2 linked regions of the Elephas maximus indicus genome follow. The protein of the gene in region 2 interacts with the protein of the main gene of each other region in a pairwise test. Links are inferred from orthologs where the notes say so. Each region holds a gene or a part of one and is shown on either strand. Other genes may lie near its edges.

Region 1 (6,969 bases), on a different chromosome or scaffold from region 2:
AGCTTAGATAGGGCATGAGCAAGCCTCTGCACTGCTACTGGACTGAAAATGCAACCTCAGGCAAACAGTGAACCTCCCGTGTTTCACTAAGGTTGTCAACTCCTTTCACCCATTTGAAGTTCACCACAGTCAAAAAGTATTCACCCTCCCTCTGTTGCTAGACCAAATTTATCAATAAAGCCTTAAATGAATAGGTTCCTAAGCCTAGTTAATCTGTTCATTTATTCAACAAATACTAACTGAACACCTACTAAGAGCATTTAAAAACAAAGAGAAAGAAGCTCTCTCTTAATTTGAAACTGCCTGGGTTTAATTCACAAGCAGGTATCTATGTGTATCTCTTCCCACAGATTGTGAGTTCCTTCAATCGAGAGATTGCAGGCAGCAAAAAGATTCTGGGCTTTGCAGCCAGGTGGACTGTCACTGAATCCCTAATTTGCTACTCCTAACCATGATCTTGAAGAAGTTACTTAAATCCAGAGCTTCACATTTCTATTATTTGTAAATAAATAAATAAAATCTTTACCTTTCAGGACTGCTGTGAGGATTTAAATATTGGATATGTGACATATGGTAAATGCTCAGTAACTGAATACATGGAAAAAACCATTAATAAAAATGGAACTAGCCATGTCACCTTAATTCATTCAGCTGCTGATATTTAAGTTGTAGCTGCTCTGAAAATGTAGCACTGAAAGCAACAGAAATGTTTAGTTAAAACTCATCAATGTGCATACCAAGCAGAAATATACTGTGTAGAAAAGAAGCCAAGAGCTTTCTAGTTAGTATTTCCATCACTCCAACACCACTCCCAGAGGCTGGTAGGATTCTGGCTGCCAGGCCTGACACGGAATACAACTGCGAATCTGAGCAGGCCCAAGAAATCTGCTCTAGCTTCACAAGGCCCTAGATAAGTCAAGCCTAACTTTGACTCTACCTTTAAGGCCTCAGAGACACTGAGCCAACCTTAGTCAAGTGGCTTCAACATCACAAGGAACCTTTTAGTTAGCCTCTCAGCCATTTTCTCACCCACCTAAACAAATCTCTGAAGGATTATCCAAGTCTAAAGCTGCCCTCCTAAAACTGGGTCCAAGCTGACCCACACTGAGAATTTGGAAAGGTGGAAGTGACTATTTATTTGCCCTTTTCCATTCTCTTCCTTATACTCAAAAGGATAATTCTCCTCAGTATTTTCTTTTTTAAAGCTACACTAAATTTAAGACCCAAAGTATTGGCTGAAGGAAACCTGATAAAAAGAAATATTTTCACAATATACCCAATTCTCTTAGCCACTTCCAGAAGCTCTGTAACCTATCAAAAAAAAGTGACCAATTTATCACTACACAAATGAGTACAATACTGTCTACTTACATGTAGATGAGAAAAACTACAGTCCCAAATACGACTCCCATACTAGAAAAGTCAAATGATATAACTGCCTCTCACTTCCTACAACTTCAGATAAAAAAAAAAAAGTCATTTCTGAATGAATCACAGTGTGATGGGGAAGGAACCCAAGACCCCTGCCCATGCCGAACAACTGCCAAAAGCTGGCAGGCTTCACCGCACTGTAGGCCCCAAACGAATAGGTTCCTGGACTAGTTTATCTGTTCATTCACTCAACAAATATTTACTAAACTACTACTAAGGGTGAGGCACCCAACACAAACCGCCTTCCAGAACACACGGTGGTAAACAGGCCTGACAAGGTCCCTGCCCCGCCCTGCTATGGTCCTCAATGAGGGAAATTACAGAACTGAGAGAAAGCTCCAAAAACTTGTCGTGGGCACAGAGAGTGTTTTTAGCTGTTTGCCTCATTACACCTTCTAATGGAGTCATTCCTGAATTAAAAACATTTGTTAAGGGGTTAAGCGGCAACTTTCAAAACCACTTCTTCAGCAGAACTTACATTCCAAAAACAGACGACCATCAGGTAAACGAAAAATAATTTCAGAGAGTGGTAACCACTAGTACGAAAACGATAGGAAGTGGAGTGATCTAATATAAATGGGGTTCTCTAGAAGGCCACACTGAAGAACACATTGAGTGCAAGTAAACATTAACCTTTGTACTCAGAACCAAAAGCACAACGAAGTAAACACTATCATTTTTAAAAATTAGTTCTCATCAAGACTATACTTCATTTTATTGACCTGTTGTTAACTTCCGAGTAAAACCTTCCATGCCCAAACCCACTGCCGTCGAGTCGATTCCGACTAATAGCGACTCTATAGGACAGAGCAGAACTGCCCCACAGATTTCCGAAGAGCGCCTGGTGGATTCGAACTGCTGATCTTTTGGTTAGCAGCCGTAGCTCTTAACCACTGCGCCACCGGGATTACCAAACCTTCCATAGCCCCCCCCTTTTTTTTTTAAGCAAATCAACAACAGGTAGTAAAACCTGTGTTACCTCACTAGACTTCGGAGTCTCAGTCTCTAAACAAAACTTGAGCTGCGTTTACAAGGCTGGCTGAGTTTTTAATGATCGTTGTTCACGCATCTAACGCAACTAACAAAAGAGAAAGACTCACACCCTCTGTGCCCTGGGCTCAGCCAGCTCCCGCACACTAGGGAACGCAGCTTTCGCCCGGGGTGCGTGGGCTCGCGAGGGCGTGCCGGCCCCGGCGGGCCCAGGTCCGGCCGCCGCGGAGAGTGGACAGCGGGGGCGTGGCGGCCCCGGCGCCGGCCTTTGTTGTCCCTCGTGGCGCGCGGAGGGGGAGGGGCGGCCCGAGGCCCGCGAGGCCAGTAGCCGCTCCCGGTCCCCGGCGCGTGCCCTCCCGGCGCCCCCCGGGCGCGCGAACCCACCTTCTTGTAGTGCTTGCCCAGCCAGACCCGCACCGAGTCCAGCTGGGACACCGTCTCCGGGCTCTCCCAAAACTTGCTGGCCGGGCCCCCGTCCTTCCGCCGATAAACGGCCAGGCCCGCAGCTGCCGCCGTGCCACCCGCGCCCGCGCTGCCCGCTGCCGCCCCCGGCCCTCCACCGCCCGCCGCCGCGGCCATCGTGGCCGTCCGTCGTCCCCACCGCCCGGCCTGCCCGGGCCCTCGCGCTGCTTCTCCTTCGCACCCGCGCGCGCGCGCGACGCCGCCACCTCCGCCTCCCAGCCCCGCCCAGCCAACCCCCTTCCGGCGCGGATGCCCGGCCCCGCCCCATCTCGGGCTGGCGCCCTAACCGACGCGAGCACGCGCACACGCATGCGCAGCACTCCCATGCACACAAGCATGCGCAACACTACCACCCGGCGTGCGACTTCGGACGAGCGCTTCTGCCCGCCTCTTCCTGCAGTTTACGCTCTCCGCTTCCCCCGTTGGGCGTCGGCACGCCTCGCTCTTTCCCTGGTTCCGGCGTCGGGTAGCTATGCGGTCCGTAACCGCATGGCGCGTTTGTCTCATCGTCTGCCACACCGGAGAGGAAAGGCCCGGTGTGAGAAATGCCGAAGGGAAAGCCGGTATAGAGTGCTGAGGGACCCACCTGCGGGTAGGAATTGCACCAACTCCCCGCTTGCCCTCAGACCCTCTAGACGAAGCGACCGAGTCTGCCTTTATAAACGTCCGTCAGGGTCCTTTATGCCCCGGAGCCGCTTCACTTAGCCGATTTGTCCTCCCTTGCGTGGCTCCAGCCACACTGTCACATTCCTGCCTAAGCTCATTTCGGCAGCTAGCTGTTCCTGCGAACTCCACTGCCCTTCTCTGATTTTCACTTACGTAGCTTTCCAAATCTATAACCTGGAGGTGTTCCAGAGAGATCCCTAAGCATACAATCTTCGATTGATGACACTATACTAATAAAAGCTAAAGGTTGTGAAGTTACAATCTGCTGTCTTGCCTGAAAATAAATGACACGTGTTTATACATGTTGTTAGGTGGAGTGGGTTCTGACTCATAGTGACCCTGCAGGACAGAGTAGAACTGCCCCCATAGGGTTTCCTAGGCTGTAATCTTTCTGGAAACAGATCACTAGGTCTTTTCCCTTGCTGAGCGGTTGGTGGGCTTGAATCGCTGATTCAAGAATTAAGCAACCAAGAATTAAGCCATTGTGCCACCAGGGCTGCTTAAAATCTTCAACTCTGGGTAGCACTTATACACCCTGTTATTTTTACTTATTTTCTTATTGTAACCATAAGTTATTAGACAGCCTAGTCTTGGTTTGTTGACAGATGTGCATCTTTCGCAGGTATGTCACAGGAATAATGCTGTGTTCTTTTCATTGCATATTATTAGGTGGCACAAGATTTCATTTCTCCCATTACTTTGGTGATTTGATTTAAAGAGTATCTAACAGTTTTCACTGTAAAGTTGTTCTTTTCCCTTTTATAATTCATAGATTCTAGAAAAGTGTTTCAAAAGTATATAAACCATTCCTCACCAAATTTTCCACTTATATCAAGATAAAATTAAAAAAAAAAAAAAACTTGCCATCAAGTTGATTCCAACTCATAGCAACCTTATGGTACAGACTAGAACTGCCCCATAGGGTTTCCAAGGAGAGACTGGTGGATTCGAACTGCTCATCTTTTGGTTAGTAGCCAACTGCTCCACCACTGCACCACCAGGGCTACTATACCAGGATAGACTCCTGATTTCCTATTTCATTCGATGGGTTATATTGTCTATTACTATCATTACTGATTTTGTGTTGTTATAAAAATACATGCAACACATTTGCCAATTCAGTGTTTTTCAGGTGTACAGTTTGATGATATCCATTACATTGATTATGTTATGTAACTATCACCCATAATTGTTGCCAAATTTCCCATCACCATAAACAAACACTCGCTTCCTAAACAATGGTTCCCCTTTTCCCCCCCGTCCTTCTCGCCCTTGGTAACCACTAATAAACTTTGGTCTCTACACATTTGCCTATTCTTGTTATTTCACTTAAATGAGATCTTACAAAGGAGCCCTGGTGGCACAGTGGTTAAAGCACTCAGCTGCTAACCAAAAAGTCGGCAGTTTGAACCCAAAGATGTGGCAGTTTGCTTCTGTAAAGATTTAAAAACCAAACTGATTGCCATCAAGTCGATTCCAACTCATAGCAACCCTATAGGACAGAGTAGAACTGCCCCATAGGATTACAGCTTTGGAAACCATGTGGGACAGTTCTACTCTGTCCTGTAGGGTCGCTATGAGTCGGAACCTACTTGACAGCAGTGGGTGGGAGATCATACAATATCTGTCCTTTTGTGATTGACTGATTTCACAGAGCATAAGTTTTTGATGTTCATCCATGTTCATTATTGACTTTTATGTTAAAAATGTGCCAGAGTTAGCCAGTGGGAGACCCCTCAACTGGCATCTGTGTCTTTTTTACAGGACCGCATTATTCTTTTGGCATTGTCTTGCCTTCTGAAATAATGAGATGTTCCAGGTTCATCTTGTACTCTCCACAGCCCTGGACTCAGCCATTTCTCAATGTAGGCCCAATTTTGAAGTTTCTAACAAGATAACTTTAGCAGTTCTCATAAGTTTTCAGGAGACTCCTCATGTTTCACTGACCACAATTGGACACTATCTTAGTCTGAGTTCTCTAGAGGAGCAAAACCAGTGAACCCATACATAATTATATAGAGAAAGATTTACTTCAAGGAAATGGCTCGCACAATTGCAGGGACTGGCAAGTCTCAAATTTGTGGATCAGGCAGCAGGCTGAAGGCTTCTGCTGGCTCACATGGTTGCAGGGGCTGATGATCCCAAAATCTGCAGGTCAGGCAGCAGGCTGGAAGCCTCTGCTGACTAACAGGGTTGCAGGGACTCACGAATCCAAAATCTGCAGGTCAAGTGCCAGGCTAAAGACTTCTGCAGGCTTATGTCCCAAGAGTCAGACGTCAGGCGACCAGAAGAGTGCAGGGTTGACAGAGGGAGAGAGATTGAGCACGTGAGCCTTGCCAGAACACACCCACAAGGAAACTCCCCTTTCGACTCATTGACTGATCACATCATGAAAGTGATTATGTTACATTGTGGAAGAGTAATCAGTCCAATGTCTGCCAAACCACTGAGAATTGGAGTCTAGTCAAATAGACATATAACATTAACTATCACAGGGACCTTGTTGTTATTTTAATCCTTGGCAAAGAAAATGAAATTAACCCTATAGCAGATGGCTAAAACCTGGATAGTAAACTCATATTCTTACTAACTTGAAGAATTGGAGGAGAGAGTTTGGAGCAACCACAATAAAAAAAAAAATCCTAGAAGGAGAGAGTCACAAAGGGGGAGCCCTAAATTCTGTGTATAAACTCTACTAAATCTCTGAAATATGTATGCATGGAACAGATTCCAAGCAGCTCAACTAAGCTAAAAGAAGTAAACAGAGATTAGTTCCTGTCCATTGCACAAAAGATAGGGGTTGGAATTAGAGTTCAGCCAGGCTAACCGGCTAACTGAGAAAAAGATCAGTACTCTTCAGAGAAACAGAATTCACAGTATGTACAACATATAATTCACAAGGATCAGGACATTATCCAAAAATATTAAATATAAAAAGAAATAGAAAAATATGACCCATATTCAAAAGAAAATACAATTGGTGGAGACCAATCCTAAGATTATCCAGATGTTGGAATTAGCAGACAAGGATGTAAAGCAAGTAGTATAATTTACCCAAGGATGTAAAAAAAATATGCTCATAATGAATGAACAAATAGAAAAAACCAGCAGACACACAGAAACTAAAAGAAAACCTAGTGGTAAATCTAGAACTGAAAAATGTATGAAATTTAAAGATATAAAAATTCACTGGATGGACTAAATAGCAGAATAGAGATGGCAGAAGAAAGTGAACTTCAAGATACATCAATAGAAATTATCCAATCTGAACAACTGAGAAAAAAAAAAAACCAGACTCATGTACCTATGGAACAATATCAAATGGCCTAACTTCTAGGTAATTATATTTCTAGAAAGAGAGGAGAGAAAGAATGAGGCAGAAAAAGTATGTAAAGAAATTTTAGTCAAAAGTTTCCCTCA
Region 2 (7,528 bases):
AGCAGCTCCCCACATCCTGACCACCAGCCTCTCAGAAAGCACAAGTTACTCATCACTTCCCCTGCCTCTCCCTGTGCTCTCCCCTCCCTCATGTCCAGGGACAGAGCTCCCCCCACCCTGGCAGCCCCACCTCTTACCTGCCGGCCCACTTCTCCATCACTTCTCCCTGATTGCCCAGGGCTAGGGAGAAGGGGACTGGAGGTAAATGCACTACTCAGGCATCTGGGCGTGGAGGGGAGGGAAGCCTCGTGGTTACTTCAGTCTTCAGAGAGCTGGGGCGTCGGGATGGATGAGCCCTCAGAAGGCTGTCTCAGAGTGAAGATGGAGGGGTGGGAGAGACTGGCCCACCTTTTTATGATTCTAAGGGTGGGAGCAGGGAGTCATACTGCCTTTGTCCATCTGCTGAAGCTAGAGGGTGGGGGTCTGACCTCAGCCTCCCAAGTATTGGCTCAGTCCCCTCCCCCTGGCCCTGTAGGAACCTCTGACTCCTCCCTAGACCCAACTTGGGTGTTTCTAGGCCAGCACAGAGTTTTCTTAATATGGTTTTCATCTGGGTCTCCCTCCTGCCCCCTAGGGGTACCTGGAAAGTTGAGGAAGGAGGCTCTGGTGAGGATATGCCAGACGTCCCCTCCGAGGATCTGACAAGGAGCCCCTTGGGTTTTCCAGAAACAAGAGCCTCCCCAGCCATCTCTGTTTCCTACCTCCCAGCTTTTTCTTTCCTTCTTAGCTAAGCTCCTTATGGAACAGTCAGGCACATCTCTGCCTGCCTCAAAAACTTTCGAGCCAAGGGATAAACTAAGTGGGTTGATGGTTTAATCTCAAGAGAAACAGATGATTTTCCCACTGCGATTTACGCTCCACTCTGGCCAGAGGTCCCTGAATGGCACAAATGGTCTGTGCCTGACTACAAACCTCAGAGTTGACAGTCTGAACCCACCCAGCAGCACTGTGGAAGAAAGTCCTGGTCATCTGCTTCCATAAAGATGACAGCCAAGAAAACCCTATGGAACAGTTCTGCTCTAACATATGAGGTTGCCATGAGTTGAAATTGACTCAATGGCAATGAGTTAATGGACTGGGTGCCAGGATCCTGGACTGGTTCAATGAGGGCTTGTTTCATGTGCAACTGTGACAGGCTAGGAGAACCTGAGGAGAGAGGCTGCCAGGGCTGCCCTTGCTCCCCAATCACAGGCCTATCATTCTCAAGATTCAGGAAGTTCTCCCTGAAGTCTAGCTTTGAGGGTTGGGGAAGTGGGGGTTGGAACCCTCCCCACCTTAAAGCCTGACTCTGCCCACCCCTCCTTGCCCTCCAGCCCCCTCCTTCTTCCTTTGAGCCCTTCCCATCCCCAGCCCACCATTTTGCTTCTAGTTCTGCTTTCCAGGAAAAAAAAAGTGTGTTTCTGTTGGAGCTGAAAGGCACCCAAAGAGGAGTCCAAGGAGCCAGTGCTGAGGTGGGCCAGCTCCAGGGCAGGAAAATGACAGAGAGGAGGGCAGGAATGTGCCTGGGGGTAGCAACACCCAGACCCACTCCCCTCTCTAAGACCCCAGGACTTGCGAATTTGAGGGAGAGACCAGAGTGGTCAAGCAGGGTCACCTCTGCTGCTCAGGGTTGGGATGGGGGAGATAGGCCGATGGCAGCTCCTTCCCCTGGCTAGGCCAGCCACTGAGGTCAGAGACTACACCCTGATGGGCGGGACGCTGGGGGCTCCCGAGAAGGGCCTACGTTCCACCCAAATCTCCATATCTCTGCCTGACTCTTGAAAACCCTAACTTGAGGTCGAAGCGAAGGAGAGATGGAGGAAGACCCTCACTGCCCTTCTCTGCTGCCAGGTCCCCTCTGTACTCCCTCTGTCTGTGCTTCTGTTACCAGAGGTTTGTATCTCGCTGTCTCTCTCCATGGGTCTACCCAGGACACATAATCCCGTCCTGAGCTGGGTTTGGCTTTGGCATATCCCTAGAGAAGTGAAGGGTGGGGGGTGGAGTGACGTGAGCTCCTGGGGCCCAGGCCAGGCCTGGCTCCCTCTCTGGAAAAGTCCCACCTCCCCCACCCCCCTGCACAGCTGGGCAGGGGGCAGATATCCCCTTCTCTCTGGAAACAGGCACACACCCCTTTTCACATCCCTCATCTGGTGTCTCTCAATGCCCAGGGTGAGGAAAGGAGACGTCAGAAGTGGACACTCTGGTGCCAGGCTGGAAGCTGCTCTCGACAACCTGGGCTCCTCCTGGCCACACCTCCTCACACTGGCCAGTGAAGATCAAGGAGCAAGACCTGGGCAGGGCTAACTCCTCAACACCCAGAGGGACCCACCTCTGGGAAATAGGGAGCCGCTGAACAGTATGTTTCTGGGCTGGTGGTGGAGAGTCCCTGTCCTGTGTCAGAACTCTTCGGTCCTCATCATGTCCTCCACTCTTGGGTCCTGGAGGACTGTACCAACAGGTGTCCTTCCTTTGGTCGACCTCTTCTGCCCTCAGGCTAAGCTGGATCAAGGGCACCCACCTGCATGCCTCCCAGCGCCCCTATTCCCCTCAAAAAGTAAAAGGCGGAGTGGGGGGCACACATTCTCGGAGGAGGGGAGGCGGCGTCGGCGCATGCCGGGAGGTCCTGGGTATGTTTTCCAATTTTACTATGTGACTGAGTAGGAATTTTGGCTTATTCCCCGCCCGAGTGATGGGGCCAGAGTTCTACAGGATCAGACTGCGCACCCCCCCCCCCCCGCCCCAGGGAATTCGACCCCAGGGTCTGGAAGATCTTCCGAGGCTCTAAGTGCCGGGGTCGGGGTCGTGGCGGGGGCGCGACCAAGGAGCGCGAGGCGCGGGGGCGGTGCGCGCGTTCGGGGCGGCCGGTCTAACGGGACCGGGAAGAGGGGGCGGCCGTGGCCGGGGTCCCAGGGAGGGTCTGTACCTGCTCTCCGCGCCCCCAGGGGCCGGTTAACCCTTCTGCGCCCGGGCGCTCTCTCGAGACAGCCTTGCTCCGCGGCGGCCACTGTGGCCCCAGAACAGGGCTCGGGACACTGCCGCCTCCAGCTGCGGCTCCGCCCCTGCGCCCCGCCCCGCCGCCGCCCCGCCCCGCCGCCGCCACGCGCCCCTCGGCCGCCCGGGGTGGGGACGGCCGACCTCCGGCTGCCTGTCGACCGGCCGGGGCCACCCACCCGGGGCCGCTGGCCACGGCGACCCCTGAGTGTCGGGCACCCTCCGACGGTTCGAGGAGCGAAGCCAAGGCGGTCGCAGCCTGGGCTGGAGGCAGCCGTCTCTCCCGGGCACTGTCGCCGGCCCGCGCGCTGGGCTCGGCTGGGGCTCGCGGACTCGCGGACCCCCGGCCCAGGGCCGGCTCTGGGTGGGCGGTGCGAGCGCGGCACCTGCCCAGGCGGGGCAGCCTGGAGAGGCGCCAAGGGTCCAGCTGGGTGGCGTAGGCGAACCAGCCCCGGGCCCCAGATGGAGGCTGTGCACCGGGCCGAGATGGCCCCGTCCAACCCCAGGTCCGTGTCGGTCAAAGCTCCTTTCTCCACGCAGCCAACGGTGCCACCCAGTCACTTCTGCCTCTCCCAAGTTGGGTGGTGAATCATAGTGGTTCTGACGGCTCGGGGACCTCTAAGAGCCTCGGTTTCTTCATCCATAAAATTTTACACACTGGGCGTAGCGGAAGGAATGCGCTGACTTAGGAGTCACACTGACCTGGATTTGAATCTCAGCCCCCAGCACTTGTTAGCTGTCTGGACTCGGGGTGAATACTTTAACTTCGGGGTGAATACTTTAACTTCTCAATGCTGCGGTTTCCTCATCTATAAAACGGGGCTAATTTGATATCTATGATAGGCTCGGAGATACATCTATCTATTAATTATAGCTGGAAGAATGCACCCCAAACTTGTAGGGGTGGTGACATCTGAGGAGGGGTTTGGGATTAGAGAAGGGATGGAGACTTTTTGCTTTTTACTCTGTATGCTTATATGTTGTTTGAATTTTTTTTTAACTACAAATTTTATCCATATATTGTTGTTATTATTTACCATCCAGTAGATTTGGACTCGGACTCATGGCGACCCCATGCGTGCAGAGTAGAACCGCTTCATAGGGTTTTCAAGGCTGTGACCTTTCCGAAGCAGATCACCCGGACTGTCTTCCGAGGTGCCTCTGGGTGAGTACAGACTGCCAGCCTTTGGCCTAGTAGTGGAGTGCTTAACCATTTGCACCATCCGGGGACTCCATCCATATATTAGTTATGTTAAAAATGAATAATATTTGTAAAATGGCTGATGGGAATAGATAATAAGTTGTCACTACTATTTTTTTTTTTTGCCATTTACTTATGATGTACGGTTATGTTTTGTTGGGTCTACTTGGTGTTTTGAAGGTTTTTTTTTTTTTCCAGTGACTTGTCAGTATTTTAAAAGCAAGATATTTTATAGCTTCTCTTGACAAACAAAAACACAAAAATAGACGCTCTAGCAACATTGCTGTGCATCCCCACAAAGAAACAGGGATCTCGAGTGCCCCCACCTAGCCCTGAGCACCTTTTGCCCTTGGTGCTGAGAACACAGTTAGAGGACAATCTCTTGCCTCAAGAGTTGGTCCAATGGTGGACAGACGCTGCGAGCCGGCGGGGATAAGTGCTGGGCTCAGCAAAAGCAACCATTATCTCGAAGACTACGCAAGTGAAACTATAAAATGCTTTTAAAATGCAAGAATTGTATCCTTATTTGAGTCACCATGCACATTTTGTTTTCTCAATAAAACCGTTCTTTCAGGACAGAGTCTATTGATGGTGCTTCGAATCATCTATATTTCTTCATATTTTGTATTTGTGTCTGTAGGGTTACAAGAAATATCTGAATTGCAGTGTTATGGAACAGGCAAATGAGTCCCAGGTGCCCAGGCCTGCCCTCCTGACTTTTCCCCCTGAACTCAGAGGCCCCGGGACAGGCAGGTGGGCTGGCTGGGGCACCTGAGACCCCGGTTACTGAGTCGGGGTGTAGGACGGTGTTGCTAAGGCTTCTATTTTTGTTTTTGCTTTTCCAAGAGCAGCTGTATTCTGGTTTTAAAAGTCAGTGAAAACGAACTTGTAAACACCAAGTTGTTGTTAGCTGTCATCGAGCTGGCCCCTACTCATGGTGACCCCATGCACAACAGAACAAACTACTGCCCAGTCTATCATAGTCTGGAAGGTTCCCCGAAATCTGTTCAGCATCATAGCAACATGCAAGCCCCCCCAGGTCTCCCACATGGAAAGCAAGAATTCTACCATTGCCTCAGAACTCCAAGCGGACCCAACAAAACACACCTGTGGGTCAGATTTGCCTGCAGGCTTTTGGATTTGTGCCTCTGCATAAAACCTCCTCTGTCCATCTTCCTAAAGGGTTTAGGCAGATAATAGGTTAACAGCTCCCTCCCAGGAGTGGTGTTTTATCTGGAGACTCCTGATGACACACGGTCCTAACCCAGAGGCTTATATATAGATGCAGATTTGGAGCGGGAAGCCCCTTTGCTCAGACCTCAGAGTATAATGCCTATGATGAACCACCCTGCTTATGGGGGAAGACGAAGATGTTTTAGGCCCTGGACCTTTTAGCGTCCCCCAGATCACACTCCATCAGCATCCACTTATCTACAAGGAGGTGAGCTGTGGGAAAGGAAGGTGGGAAGGAAGGCAGGAGAGTGAGAAGGGAATTTCGGAGGGGGGAAAATGTCCACCTTTGACATTTGTAGCTGCCATGAACTGAAGGTCAGAAATAGTCTTTTCCGTTAAGAAATGGCTGCAGACCAAAGAGCTCACAAGATTTACTACAGCGTCACCTCTCATGGCTTGATGTTCTGAAAATATTGTATAAAGAAAATAATTTCCTATGCCTCAGCAACTTGTGAAGTACCAGATTAAATTTGTGGACATTGTCTCAACGATAAAAAGAAGTTTCCTAAAAGATTAGGTAATAAGTAGAGGGAGAGAACAGATAAAGGACAGAGGGAGGGGGACAGGCTGAGTATTGGTCTGCCTTTTAGCTCCACATAGTGATTTAATAATAACAACATAGCTAAGGTGAACACAGTGCTTCCTCCGTGCCCGGGGCTGTTAGAAGAACTTTATACCCATTGCCTACTCGGTCCTCCTAGTAATCCTGTGAGGTGGGGACTGTTGAGCCATCTTATAGATTTGGAAACAAAGACACAAAGAGAAGTTCAGTAACTTGCTGCAAATCTCACAGCTAGAAAGTATGAGAGCCAGGATTCTAAATTTAGGCACCATCTGTATATGTTTTGTGCAAGTGAAATTTTCGAGAAAAGTTAGTTGAGCTCAATTAAAAAAAAAAATTTTTTTTTCAGGCAGTAGAGTAAGGAAGTTGTATTTGTGCTGAATGAAGTAACATTTTTAAAAAATGTATCGTTAAACACTTATTAAAAGTTGTGGTAAATATATAGGTAACAAACATTTGCCATTTCAACAATTGTCACACGTACAATGCAGTGACCTTAAATATGTTCGTTATGTTGTAAATAACGTTTTTAACTATGACTTTCATGTTTCACGTGAGACGTTGCTCCTATTCCAAGATAATGCGGATGCTAAAACTGATGTGTAAGGGGGGGTCCAGAAGCTAATGTGAAACTGTCTGTCTTTTGGTTAATAGTTATAACAACCATTTTCCAAAAGCCTGATGTTTGCCTTTCTGCCTCAGAATCATGGTTTGCTCAACTCCTTTGTTCCAGAAGAGCCACTCCATTCCCAGTTGCTAAACGCCAGGCTGGTCCCCGGGCGTTGATTCCCAGTGGCCTGTCACGTTATCTCACACTGTTTTTCGTTCTTTCAACTGATGCAGCTCTTCGGGTCATTTGACTTTGGTTTGCCCCCGTTAGTCCACTCCCCACAGCAGTTACGAGAAGGGCGTATTGTTACCTGTTCTCTACAAGGAACCTGGAGGTCAGGGAAGCACCTTCCATGTTTAGCTTTGTTTCCACCACTCTGCCGTGCACATACCAAAAACAAAAAAAAACCCAAACCGACTGCCTTCGAGTCGATTCCGATTCATAGCCGCCCTGTAGGACAGAGTAGAACTGCCTCATTGGGTTTCACAGGCTGTAATCTTTGCTGAAGCAGACTGCCACCTCTTTCTCCCCTGGAGCAGCTGGTGGTTTAACCTGCTGACCTTTTGGTTAGCAACTGAGTGCTTAACCACTGTGCTACCACGGCTCCTTTGCCTCGCATATAGTAGGCATTTAATAAATGTTTGTGGGATAAGAAGTGGTGAGTACTGCCTCAGCTCTGGCCACATTCCAGCACTGTCTGGTTGTCATGGCTGGGGTGGCTCTTGGGTGATGAATGATGAAGAAACAGGATGTGAGCCATTTGGTAACATGAGTACTGGGATGTGGACGGGCTGTTCTAGCCTCCCAACCACCGTTCTGTAGACTAAATTTGGTCAGAAATTCCCGAAGTTGGAATTCTTCTTGATTGGATTTCTACATTTCAATCTACCAGTGCCTCGCATGTGGGTCCTGGGATCCATGGTGACAGACTTGGCCTTGGTACTGCCCTGAG

The links. The genes of interacting proteins can lie anywhere in the genome.
Region 1: the proteins of ADAMTSL4 (region 2) and SMARCC1 interact in binary tests that used the Homo sapiens proteins (3 or more experiments, as listed by UniProt). The two-hybrid records come from large-scale screens. The link is inferred for Elephas maximus indicus from reciprocal best matches to the Homo sapiens genes ADAMTSL4 and SMARCC1.

The regions. Positions count from the first base shown.
Region 1 is NC_064838.1:52,175,900-52,182,868, forward strand, and holds the start of SMARCC1 (SWI/SNF complex subunit SMARCC1), read right to left. Parts: upstream 3,016-6,969; 5' UTR 3,001-3,015; coding exon 2,806-3,000; intron 1-2,805. UniProt on the Homo sapiens protein: Involved in transcriptional activation and repression of select genes by chromatin remodeling (alteration of DNA-nucleosome topology).
Region 2 is NC_064821.1:184,670,703-184,678,230, reverse strand, and holds the start of ADAMTSL4 (ADAMTS-like protein 4), read right to left. Parts: upstream 2,426-7,528; 5' UTR 330-2,425; coding exon of another isoform or gene 286-329; 5' UTR 158-285; coding exon 138-157; intron 1-137. Other genes in the region: translation initiation factor IF-2-like, read left to right, coding at 286-329, 2,473-2,533, 2,641-3,476. UniProt on the Homo sapiens protein: Positive regulation of apoptosis. May facilitate FBN1 microfibril biogenesis.